Schizosaccharomyces pombe: one gene and its partners. Changing the gene in region 1 together with any one later gene gives a genetic interaction. Each region holds a gene or a part of one and is shown on either strand. Other genes may lie near its edges. The genes, in order: gar2, pdc202 and rhp1602.

The links.
Region 2: mutations in gar2 (region 1) and pdc202 together harm fitness more than expected from each alone (negative genetic interaction), as found in Schizosaccharomyces pombe (one large-scale study listed by BioGRID).
Region 3: mutations in gar2 (region 1) and rhp1602 together harm fitness less than expected from each alone (positive genetic interaction), as found in Schizosaccharomyces pombe (one large-scale study listed by BioGRID).

Annotation. Positions count from the first base shown.
Region 1 is NC_003424.3:1,895,554-1,899,309, forward strand, and holds the start of gar2 (nucleolin), read left to right. Parts: upstream 1-1,908; 5' UTR 1,909-1,969; coding exon 1,970-3,472; 3' UTR 3,473-3,756. Other genes in the region: sdh2 (succinate dehydrogenase iron-sulfur subunit protein), read left to right, coding at 1-738. UniProt on the Schizosaccharomyces pombe protein: Helps the assembly of pre-ribosomal particles containing 18S rRNA.
Region 2 is NC_003424.3:583,855-587,610, forward strand, and holds pdc202 (pyruvate decarboxylase), read left to right. Parts: upstream 1-1,742; coding exon 1,743-3,458; 3' UTR 3,459-3,641; downstream 3,642-3,756. Other genes in the region: ysp2 (peptidase family M17 cytoplasmic leucyl aminopeptidase yspII (LAP yspII)), read left to right, coding at 1-179.
Region 3 is NC_003423.3:437,076-440,831, forward strand, and holds the start of rhp1602 (DNA translocase Rhp16b), read right to left. Parts: upstream 1,734-3,756; 5' UTR 1,703-1,733; coding exon 914-1,702; exon of another isoform or gene 862-913; coding exon 1-861. Other genes in the region: nucleoporin Nup107, read right to left, coding at 2,199-3,756.

The DNA of each region.
Region 1 (3,756 bases):
TCTGCCACTTCTGCTAATCCTCAGTCACAGGGTGAAAATTTAAAAACTTTCGAGATTTATCGCTGGAACCCAGAGAAACCAGAAGTAAAGCCAAAGCTTCAAAAGTATACAGTCGACTTAACAAAATGCGGACCAATGGTTTTGGATGCGCTTATTAAAATCAAAAATGAGCAAGATCCTACCTTAACGTTCCGTCGCTCATGCAGAGAAGGTATTTGCGGGTCTTGTGCGATGAATATTAATGGCAGTAATACTTTGGCTTGCATCTGTAACATTAAAAAAGATAACAAACCTACTAAAATTTACCCCTTACCTCATTGCTTCATCGTAAAGGATCTCGTACCTGACCTAACCTACTTTTATAAGCAATATAAGAGTATTGAACCCTGGTTGCAAAACGATAACATCCCTAAAGACAAGGAGTTTTACCAATCTCGCGCTGACCGTGCCAAGCTTGACGGTTTGTATGAATGTATTTTGTGTGCCTGTTGTTCTACCTCTTGTCCATCTTACTGGTGGAACTCAGAAGAGTATCTTGGCCCAGCAGTTTTGATGCAGGCTTATCGTTGGATCATCGATTCTCGTGATCAAGCTACTGCTAAACGTTTGGATGTCATGCAGAACTCTATGTCTGTCTATCGTTGCCATACCATTATGAATTGCGCTCGTACTTGTCCCAAGGGTTTGAACCCTGGCCTTGCCATTGCCAAGGTAAAGGCTTTGATGGCTACTGCTTAAACAAGATTTACGCTTCTTTTTGTCTTTTCTTTCGCATCTGATGATTCCAATATTTCTTGTTAAAGAGGAACCCCCGTTGTTACTTAACCTATTTTATGTTTCTCTTCTACGATTTTTTTTACTTGCGTAGCTCTGTGTTTAGCTGTCATCTATGCTACATTACTTTCTCGATCTGACCATTACTTTTGCGTTGTTCCCGTTAATGAACCCTTTATTTTTATTTGCAATATCTAAATCTAGTTTACCATTAATAATTTCGGGAAATGGTAAACTTTTCTATTTTAAAGAAAATATGCTATTTCGTGGTAACTTGTGCACAATTGAATTGTTTGATTGTGATTTTTTACGCTGTTACATCAGATGAAATAATTAAGCATGTATTTGAAAATTATCTAAACCACTTTTTTCACTGTTTATTTGTGGCTAGTTACTGCATTTAACATAGCAGCTGCTTCTTTGGTTAAAGAGTTGAAAACTTTTTAGCATATTGAGAGCCCTTTAAGGTAATTGCTTTGTAAAACTTGAGATAAGTAAATGAGGCATCTTTTATTTAATTAAAGTATCACATAAAAACGGAAATCATGTACACAATAATGAAAGAAAAATAAATCTTAATATGACGATTAAACCATGGTATTCTCCATAGGCTGGTCGAAATTTTTTGTTACTATAACATGATTTTAAAATTTCAATGGATCAACAATGTACATTTTCACGGCCACTTTTTAGTTTATAATATTTGACGAACACAAATAACTTGGATAAGATGTTATCGTTCATAAGAATTTACATATTCACCACTCCAGATAATACTACGCAAGACTAAACCTAACTCCTTCGTTTCACTGATTCAACAATTTATTAAATTTCAATATGCTTTTTACCTTTAAGACATGTTATAAGCCTTCAGACACACTCATTTTTTAAATATTAATGGCGAATATTTTACTTTGCTGGTTTGTTGTTGAATAGCGCAGATAGCTATTACTTGATAGCGTAATTAGTTAAACTCGCTTTTATAAAAAATAGTAGTAGTTGAACAAGCTTCTATATTAGTAGTTTAACGAATACGTCTAGAAAATTTGCTATACTAGTATACGGCTTCAGGTACATATATCATCGGTAAAAATTTTTTTGGCTATATATAGCAGCTTGTCGCGCCGTACCAGCAGTCAAACTAAAAAACTCCCAAATTCTTTTAAACGGGCTTTTGGTATAGGTTGTGAATATAATGGCAAAAAAGGATAAAACCTCCGTTAAGAAATCAGTGAAGGAGACTGCATCAAAGAAGGGTGCCATTGAGAAACCTTCCAAGTCCAAGAAGATTACTAAGGAGGCTGCTAAAGAGATTGCAAAGCAAAGCTCTAAAACCGATGTCTCCCCTAAAAAATCTAAAAAGGAGGCTAAGCGTGCTTCTAGTCCCGAACCTTCAAAGAAATCAGTAAAAAAGCAAAAGAAATCTAAGAAGAAGGAAGAAAGCTCCTCAGAATCCGAGTCTGAATCTAGCTCATCAGAATCCGAGTCTTCCTCTTCAGAATCCGAATCTAGTTCTTCAGAGTCCGAATCATCTTCATCTGAATCCTCTTCGTCTGAGTCTGAAGAAGAAGTGATTGTGAAAACTGAAGAGAAGAAGGAGAGTTCCAGCGAATCATCTTCCTCCTCTGAGTCTGAAGAGGAAGAAGAGGCTGTTGTAAAAATTGAAGAAAAGAAGGAGAGCTCTAGTGACTCTTCTTCCGAGTCTTCCTCATCTGAATCTGAATCCGAATCTTCCTCATCTGAATCTGAGGAAGAAGAAGAGGTGGTCGAGAAGACTGAAGAGAAGAAAGAAGGCTCCAGCGAGTCTTCTTCTGACTCCGAATCCTCGTCAGATTCCTCCTCAGAATCTGGAGACAGCGACTCTTCCTCTGATTCTGAATCCGAATCCAGCTCTGAAGACGAGAAGAAACGTAAAGCCGAGCCTGCTTCTGAAGAAAGACCTGCTAAGATTACCAAGCCTTCTCAAGATTCTAACGAGACTTGCACTGTTTTCGTCGGTCGTCTTTCTTGGAACGTAGATGATCAGTGGTTAGGGCAGGAATTTGAAGAGTACGGTACAATTGTTGGTGCACGTGTTATTATGGATGGCCAAAGCGGTCGCTCAAAGGGTTACGGCTACGTTGATTTTGAGACCCCTGAGGCTGCTAAGGCTGCTGTTGCCGCTAATGGTACCAAGGAAATTGATGGTCGTATGGTCAACTTAGATCTCTCTAATCCTCGCCCAGCCAACCCTCAACCATATGCTCAACAACGTGCGGGTAATTTTGGAGACCAATTATCTGAACCTAGTGATACCGTATTTGTTGGAAATTTGTCTTTTAACGCAACTGAAGATGATCTCAGTACGGCTTTTGGCGGTTGCGGTGACATTCAATCCATTCGTTTGCCCACAGATCCTCAGTCAGGACGTCTTAAGGGTTTCGGTTATGTTACTTTCTCTGATATTGACTCTGCCAAGAAATGTGTGGAAATGAACGGTCATTTTATTGCTGGTCGCCCATGTCGTTTGGACTTTTCAACTCCTCGTACTGGTGGAGGTAGCCGTGGTGGTCGCGGTGGATTTGGCGGTCGTGGTGGATTCGGTGGCCGTGGTGGATTTGGTGGCGGACGTGGTCGCGGTAGAGGTGGTGCTCGCTCTGGAAACCCCAACCGTGGCTCGGTTGCTCCATTTTCTGGGAACAAAGTCACTTTTGACTAAGTATACTGGCTTTTAACTATATTGAGTTCATTTTTATGGGTTAAATGTAAATACCTTAGCAAATTAATATATGAGTTTGGGTTTTTGGGAAACTTTTTGGCATAAAGGGTTTTAATAAATGTTGGGCTGTGGATTTGATTTAATTGGGTTGAAGTATTCAAATACAAATGACTTGTTTGGGTTTGTTATGGAATGAATTTGGGTTTGGTTTGGTTTTATTGACTTTATAAAGATAATAAATATGGGCCCGTTGGTTTTACAATTTCAAAGCAGTGATGGTTGGC
Region 2 (3,756 bases), 1.3 Mb from region 1:
CCGGTGGTGGTTGTTGTACAGCGGCTGCCTTTATTAAATGCTTCTTAGCCCAGAAAGATTTGTCTTTTGCTCATTTAGACATTGCCGGAGTTATGGATAAGCAGCTTAATTCTTGGGATTGTGACGGCATGAGCGGACGCCCAGTTCGCACTATTATTGAAGTCGCTCGCAAGTATTAGCTTATTTATTTTCTTGGCTATATGTGCAAACTTTATGTTTTTACTTATTTACTGTTGATTACACCAATCTCATTTTTCAATGTCCTTGTTAAGTGTATGTCAATGATATGTAGCTATCATGATTTTATTCTTTTTAATACTGTTTTCCACAACCGTTCATAACGGTTGTAAGGACCGAGTCTTTCTGATGGCTCTGGTTCTGTTTCCTTTAAAAATAAAATCAATTCGGTTGAAGTCTCATGTTGTTAAATTTCACTTTCGAAGTAGCGAATTTTTTTTTTCTATTTTGAATATAGATTTGTTTATTAAATGTAGTAATCAATTTACTCATGACTATTACTTTTGTCAAACAAAATCATAATACAAAACTAAATCTTTAAAGGTAGAATATTCTCCTGTGCGAGTTTACAATACTTTGGGATATGATCAAATCAATTTTTTTTAGATATCTGTTGAAATTTTTATAACAGTAATTTTGTATTATTTATCATACTATTTATTAGCGTTACCTGCCCTCTTAAATGTACACATCATGTGGGGGTGGGGGAACCAGTGCTGGAGATCACTTCTTGCTATACCGTTTGGCTCATGGCAACTATTGAGGATAGCAAGGAGCGTTACAATTTGCAAATCAATATGATAAACAGAAAAACAACAAGTTGAAGCTTAACACTGTAGCAATATAACAATGAAAAAAATAATCAGAATTAAAGCAAGAAGCCTATAAATGGTCCATCAATTGTGAAATCGATATTGCTAGATGTCAGGCAAATCGTGAACTCGGTTGAAAAATGTCGTTAATATTCATGTGAAATCATAATTACAGCAATATGTTCAAAGACTTTTGGATACTTTATAATAATGAGGATTCTATTTTTGAGTGGTCACATGGTCTCGTAACCATGAGGTACGCCTTACTTTTACGGACGAAACAATATTTCACATTCAGCTCTCAATGTTAAGTATCCAAACAAACATGGTACAAACCAATAAAGCATGTAAATTAATAAGCTTGAAATAAGGAATAGTCATTAAATTCAGTTTAGACATAATGTAAAAGGTATCAATTTTGTCTTTGGTATAGATACAATTAAGAATTTCGAGACGGAACGTTCGGTGATGTAGAGTTTTCATAATAATTTCTGCAGTTGCTTACACTAACCGAAGAATCGTCCAGTATAAACTGCTGACGATGCCTTAAATCAATAATTGCAAATTGCATAGTTGACGTTTTCCCGGGTGGCACATAGTGAGATTTGAGTCGAATAATGAAATAGCCTCTGACGAGTGGTTTCGTACCAAGAGTTTCAAAAAGAATAATCCACATTAACTCAATGTATCATTGATGACGGAATGTTGCTTATATAGCCAGAGTAACCCTGCTCTGAAGCATCTAAGGTTATATCTTTTTAACTTTTAGCTAGCAAACTCACTTGTTCCTTTAAGTTCAGAAAGTATCTGCTGGTTATTCAACAGATAATTATCTTGCGAAAAAGGAATACACACTCAGCATTGTAATTTGTTGAGTATATTTCACAAGCACATTAAATTGCATTATCAAACATGAGTGGGGATATTTTAGTCGGTGAATATCTATTCAAAAGGCTTGAACAATTAGGGGTCAAGTCCATTCTTGGTGTTCCAGGAGATTTCAATTTAGCTCTACTTGACTTAATTGAGAAAGTTGGAGATGAGAAATTTCGTTGGGTTGGCAATACCAATGAGTTGAATGGTGCTTATGCCGCTGATGGTTATGCTCGTGTTAATGGTCTTTCAGCCATTGTTACAACGTTCGGCGTGGGAGAGCTTTCCGCTATTAATGGAGTGGCAGGTTCTTATGCGGAGCATGTCCCAGTAGTTCATATTGTTGGAATGCCTTCCACAAAGGTGCAAGATACTGGAGCTTTGCTTCATCATACTTTAGGAGATGGAGACTTTCGCACTTTCATGGATATGTTTAAGAAAGTTTCTGCCTACAGTATAATGATCGATAACGGAAACGATGCAGCTGAAAAGATCGATGAAGCCTTGTCGATTTGTTATAAAAAGGCTAGGCCTGTTTACATTGGTATTCCTTCTGATGCTGGCTACTTCAAAGCATCTTCATCAAATCTTGGGAAAAGACTAAAGCTCGAGGAGGATACTAACGATCCAGCAGTTGAGCAAGAAGTCATCAATCATATCTCGGAAATGGTTGTCAATGCAAAGAAACCAGTGATTTTAATTGACGCTTGTGCTGTAAGACATCGTGTCGTTCCAGAAGTACATGAGCTGATTAAATTGACCCATTTCCCTACATATGTAACTCCCATGGGTAAATCTGCAATTGACGAAACTTCGCAATTTTTTGACGGCGTTTATGTTGGTTCAATTTCAGATCCTGAAGTTAAAGACAGAATTGAATCCACTGATCTGTTGCTATCCATCGGTGCTCTCAAATCAGACTTTAACACGGGTTCCTTCTCTTACCACCTCAGCCAAAAGAATGCCGTTGAGTTTCATTCAGACCACATGCGCATTCGATATGCTCTTTATCCAAATGTAGCCATGAAGTATATTCTTCGCAAACTGTTGAAAGTACTTGATGCTTCTATGTGTCATTCCAAGGCTGCTCCTACCATTGGCTACAACATCAAGCCTAAGCATGCGGAAGGATATTCTTCCAACGAGATTACTCATTGCTGGTTTTGGCCTAAATTTAGTGAATTTTTGAAGCCCCGAGATGTTTTGATCACCGAGACTGGAACTGCAAACTTTGGTGTCCTTGATTGCAGGTTTCCAAAGGATGTAACAGCCATTTCCCAGGTATTATGGGGATCTATTGGATACTCCGTTGGTGCAATGTTTGGTGCTGTTTTGGCCGTCCACGATTCTAAAGAGCCCGATCGTCGTACCATTCTTGTAGTAGGTGATGGATCCTTACAACTGACGATTACAGAGATTTCAACCTGCATTCGCCATAACCTCAAACCAATTATTTTCATAATTAACAACGACGGTTACACCATTGAGCGTTTAATTCATGGTTTGCATGCTAGCTATAACGAAATTAACACTAAATGGGGCTACCAACAGATTCCCAAGTTTTTCGGAGCTGCTGAAAACCACTTCCGCACTTACTGTGTTAAAACTCCTACTGACGTTGAAAAGTTGTTTAGCGACAAGGAGTTTGCAAATGCAGATGTCATTCAAGTAGTTGAGCTTGTAATGCCTATGTTGGATGCACCTCGTGTCCTAGTTGAGCAAGCCAAGTTGACGTCTAAGATCAATAAGCAATGAGCAAGCTATTGAGAGTGGAATTGGCAAACAAAGTTTCCTTTGATTTATATGTTTTTTATGATAAGCCCATTCAATTCATATAGTCTTTTAGTATAATGATTAGTTATTAAATTTATGTTTAAAGCAACTTTTTAGTTTAAAATTTTTCAAGTCAAGTTAGGGTGTACGTAAACAAACAATACCTTGGAAGCAATGAATGAAAAGGTAGAGTTAATCCAAACAATGTGGAAACCAGTTTCCTTGCATCTACTTACTAGTTTCGCAGAAAAATTGCTAAACTGCTTAAAAGCCAACTTTA
Region 3 (3,756 bases), on another chromosome or scaffold:
GCAAGCCTGTCGTAGACGCAAGAGAAGACACAGTATGTTAGTATAGTTCTTGCCTAATTTCCCCGAATTAACAAAATTTGACATCGTTCGTTCCATGTTTCGTGCCAAGTTACTGTAAAAGTCACGTTCACTTTCTTCAAATTTACAAATAACCTTATACACCAAACGCTTTGAAAGTTTTAAAGCACCACCTGTACCATCTTTGCCCGCGTTTGCCTCTAACAAAGTCTTCGTTCGTCGTAACATGATTACACTCAGAAGCATTCGAAGTCTTTTAAAAACCAAGTTTTCCTCTCCTTGACATAAAGGTAAAGAAATTTGATCTTTCCAAACAGATTGGTCGTTAAATGGATTAATATGAAGAAATTTCACAAGTGAGTAAAGTTCATCTACATTGTTTTGTAAAGGTGTCCCAGTGAGACACCAGCGATTGATGCCCTGTAATGCGCAACAGGCAAGAGCTGATTTAGAAGATTTATTTTTTATAGTGTGTGCTTCATCCAGTATTATCCTCCACCAATAGAAGGCAAACAAGCTTGGCTTTTTCTTTTCATAACTTTTAGCTTCAGTAGGCGATTTGCCGTCTGTACCTGTAGTATTGTGAGACACCCATTCCGAAACTAGTATTTGATACGTGGTTATTACTACATCGTATTCGTGAATTACTTTAAGTAATTTATATCTGGATGCTCCATGATAAACGATTGCTGTCAACTTGCTTTTCGTCTGCACTTCTGATTCCCACTGTTTAATTAAACTGAGTGGAGCTACTACCAAAGTGGATTTGATTGAATGCTTCTTCTTTGGTAAGGGATGCGAAAGAATTAAAGCGATCATTTGAATAGTTTTTCCCAATCCCATCTAAAAAAATTATTAGCACTGAATAACAACAAATAATATTTTCATGACTTACATCATCTGCTAGAATTCCGCCGGAAGCCGAAGATTTAGACACCGTTTCTCTTGATTTGAGCCAAGTAAGTCCTTGGACTTGATGATCTAGTAGACGTATATGCATGCCAGGAATAAACGAGGACTGCCTCTGCATTGAATCGTCCTTAACATTGTCCAGCACATTATTCTCAAACAGTTTATGTAGCATTGCTTGAGTATTTTGGGAAGTTAAGATTTCTTCAGTGGGTATACCTATGGGGCCTTTTCTATTTTCAGAAGTTGGTTTATTGTGCTTACCAAAATATAGCGTTGAAGTAGAAGCTCTGGGAATTGGAATCACAATAGGCTTATCATTTATCAAGTCCGTTCTTTTCGAAGTTGCTTTATTTATTGAGACTTCAGGAACCTTGGTATATGGTTTCTTCCACGCACCAGATTTTACTGAGATAGGGGCAAATGGATCTTTCTCCCATTTCCTTATTCCCTCATCCTTACGTTCCAATTTTTTACTATAAAAAACCTGAGCTGGTTTACTAGTTATAGGCGCGGAGACGATTACTTCCTTTTCGTTTGTATCTATCTCCTGTCTCTTTAAGCTTTCAAAAGCATCAGAAAGAAAATGTTGGGTTTTCTTTTTATTCTTAGATTTTATAGATTGTTTTGGGATGGATTCATCTTCGCTTTTGGGCAACCTTGGTAATGAAGTAGATTCATTTTCTTTCCCTGCTGTATTTACACCGAAATTTTGTAAAAAAGAGTTATTCGCTTTTTTAACCCCACTTTCCTTATTTTTAGACGCTTTTTCCATCAAGCTCCCTCAAGCAAATTGCACTGAACGTGAACATTCAGTGGTAGTAGAAATAGCTTGTATACGATGGGTTCTTACTAAGTGAAGATTGGTGTCAAGAACTCAAATATTTCTATTTGCTTACTTTAATGTTTTTTTGAGTATAAAAGTAAACCCTACACAATATATCCACTAACACAGTTTTCGAGTCGAAATTTGTAAAGACTGCTCAAATCGACTATAGGATTTAAGAACTTGCGCAATGGTCCTAATTAACCGAACTTTCAAACAATTTTATAAGAATGTTTGCAACAAAGTGTCTGCAATTCTGGATTTAGTTCATAGTCTAACTTTTTGGAAAAAAAAATTTATATTAGAAATAGTCAAAAGTTATGGAAGTTTTTCAGCTTAGTTTTAAAATCAACGTATTAAGATAAACTGGTTATCAATGCGAAGATGATACCACATTTGCAGCATCACTATTAGTTTTCGAATTGAATCTCTTATACATTGACACTTATAAAGAAAAAAGCCCATTAGGGGTTGAAAGGCTACATTCTCCGGCCTTTCCTAAATAAGAAACATATTCAACCAGTCTGCCACTTTTAATAAGACAATGGTAAAGTTTTAAATCTTCACTGGCAACTTCGTTAGCCAGAGCAAAACAGCTATCATAGTCCTCAAGGCTAAAATAAACATTATGCAAACCGAGAATTAGTTCAGGCACATACAAATTCCGAATAGTCATAAGAGTTTTATAAAGCAAAGGATCATCATCTGGTTTCAGCTCCAATGTAGACGGGTGAAGCCAGTTAGCTTGAAGTAAGTCTGTGAAGGACTTTACACATTTACGAGAGGCAAAATTCAATTTTTTTTTCCAAACTTTATAAGAAGTGCTAGCTTTCGTAACTGCAGAATCTTCAAATACTTCTTGTTTAGAAAGCTCTTCCCATTCTTGATAAAATTTAAGTGCTCTGCAGAGAGCTCGATAGTTCATCAGTTCATACGCATCTCTAAACTTAGAATCGTTTTCGGGTTCACCATCGCTAGAGCTTAGCGTATTCAAAGCATCAGAGGGAATATGTGTATAAAGATCGTATGCACTATTTAGCTCGCCAATGCTTAAAAAGAAACGATATACAAGGTTTGCAAATCGGAGCAGCTCATCTGTCTGTGAAGTGATTAATAACCATTCAAGGGTGCAGATGAGCTTTTTATAAGATGGTTCAACTGGCTCCTCAATAGATTTTAAATATACTGTGTGAACTTCTTCGGGAGAAACAGAGACAACTTCATCATACACATATTCAACAGCTAGTAACGCCGCATGATTAATATCTAATGAATATTTTTTTGCTAATTGAAGTTGTTCTGATCTTGCACTTTCTTCATCAACAAGAATAAGGAATCGAGAATAAGCCTCGTACTGCACTTGATTTGATAGGTACTGAATATACAATGGAACCAAGTTAACTTTTTTAGCACTAGCCAATAACTCAATATACGCTTGGATAATAGAGTCAGAAGTATATTCATCCACAGCAAGACCTGAAATCTTCAAAAATAAAATTATGTGTGTCAGTATTCGAAGAAGAGGAGGTGTAACCAAATCCCCAGACTCAGGGGCATTTCCAGTCCGAATTGCTTCCAACTGTATGTGAGCAGAGCTCAAAATTTCCGAAATTTTATTACAAATGATATGAGTTTGAAGTTTAATTAGGGGATGTGATGCTTCTTCTTGGATTGAAGCAATAGAGCTGTTACTCAGCGAATTAAAAATCAATTCGGGAGTTAAGCCTAAACCACTATCCACTGGAGGCAATTGTGTTTCTGTTTGAGGAGCCTTAGAAGAAAGATAAACATCCAAATTGTACTGAGTCATACTATTATAATAAGCCCACATCGCATCCTCCCAAGTTGTGCACACATCAAGGACGGAGTTCAAGTCTCCACATAAAGCGCCATAAAGAGCGCGTTCATAAGAGTCTATCCGTTTATTTTTTGTAAGTGCTAAACATGATCTGCGCAAGAGTTCCTTTCTTTTATTACCGGAAGTCTCGGATTGCAAAACATCG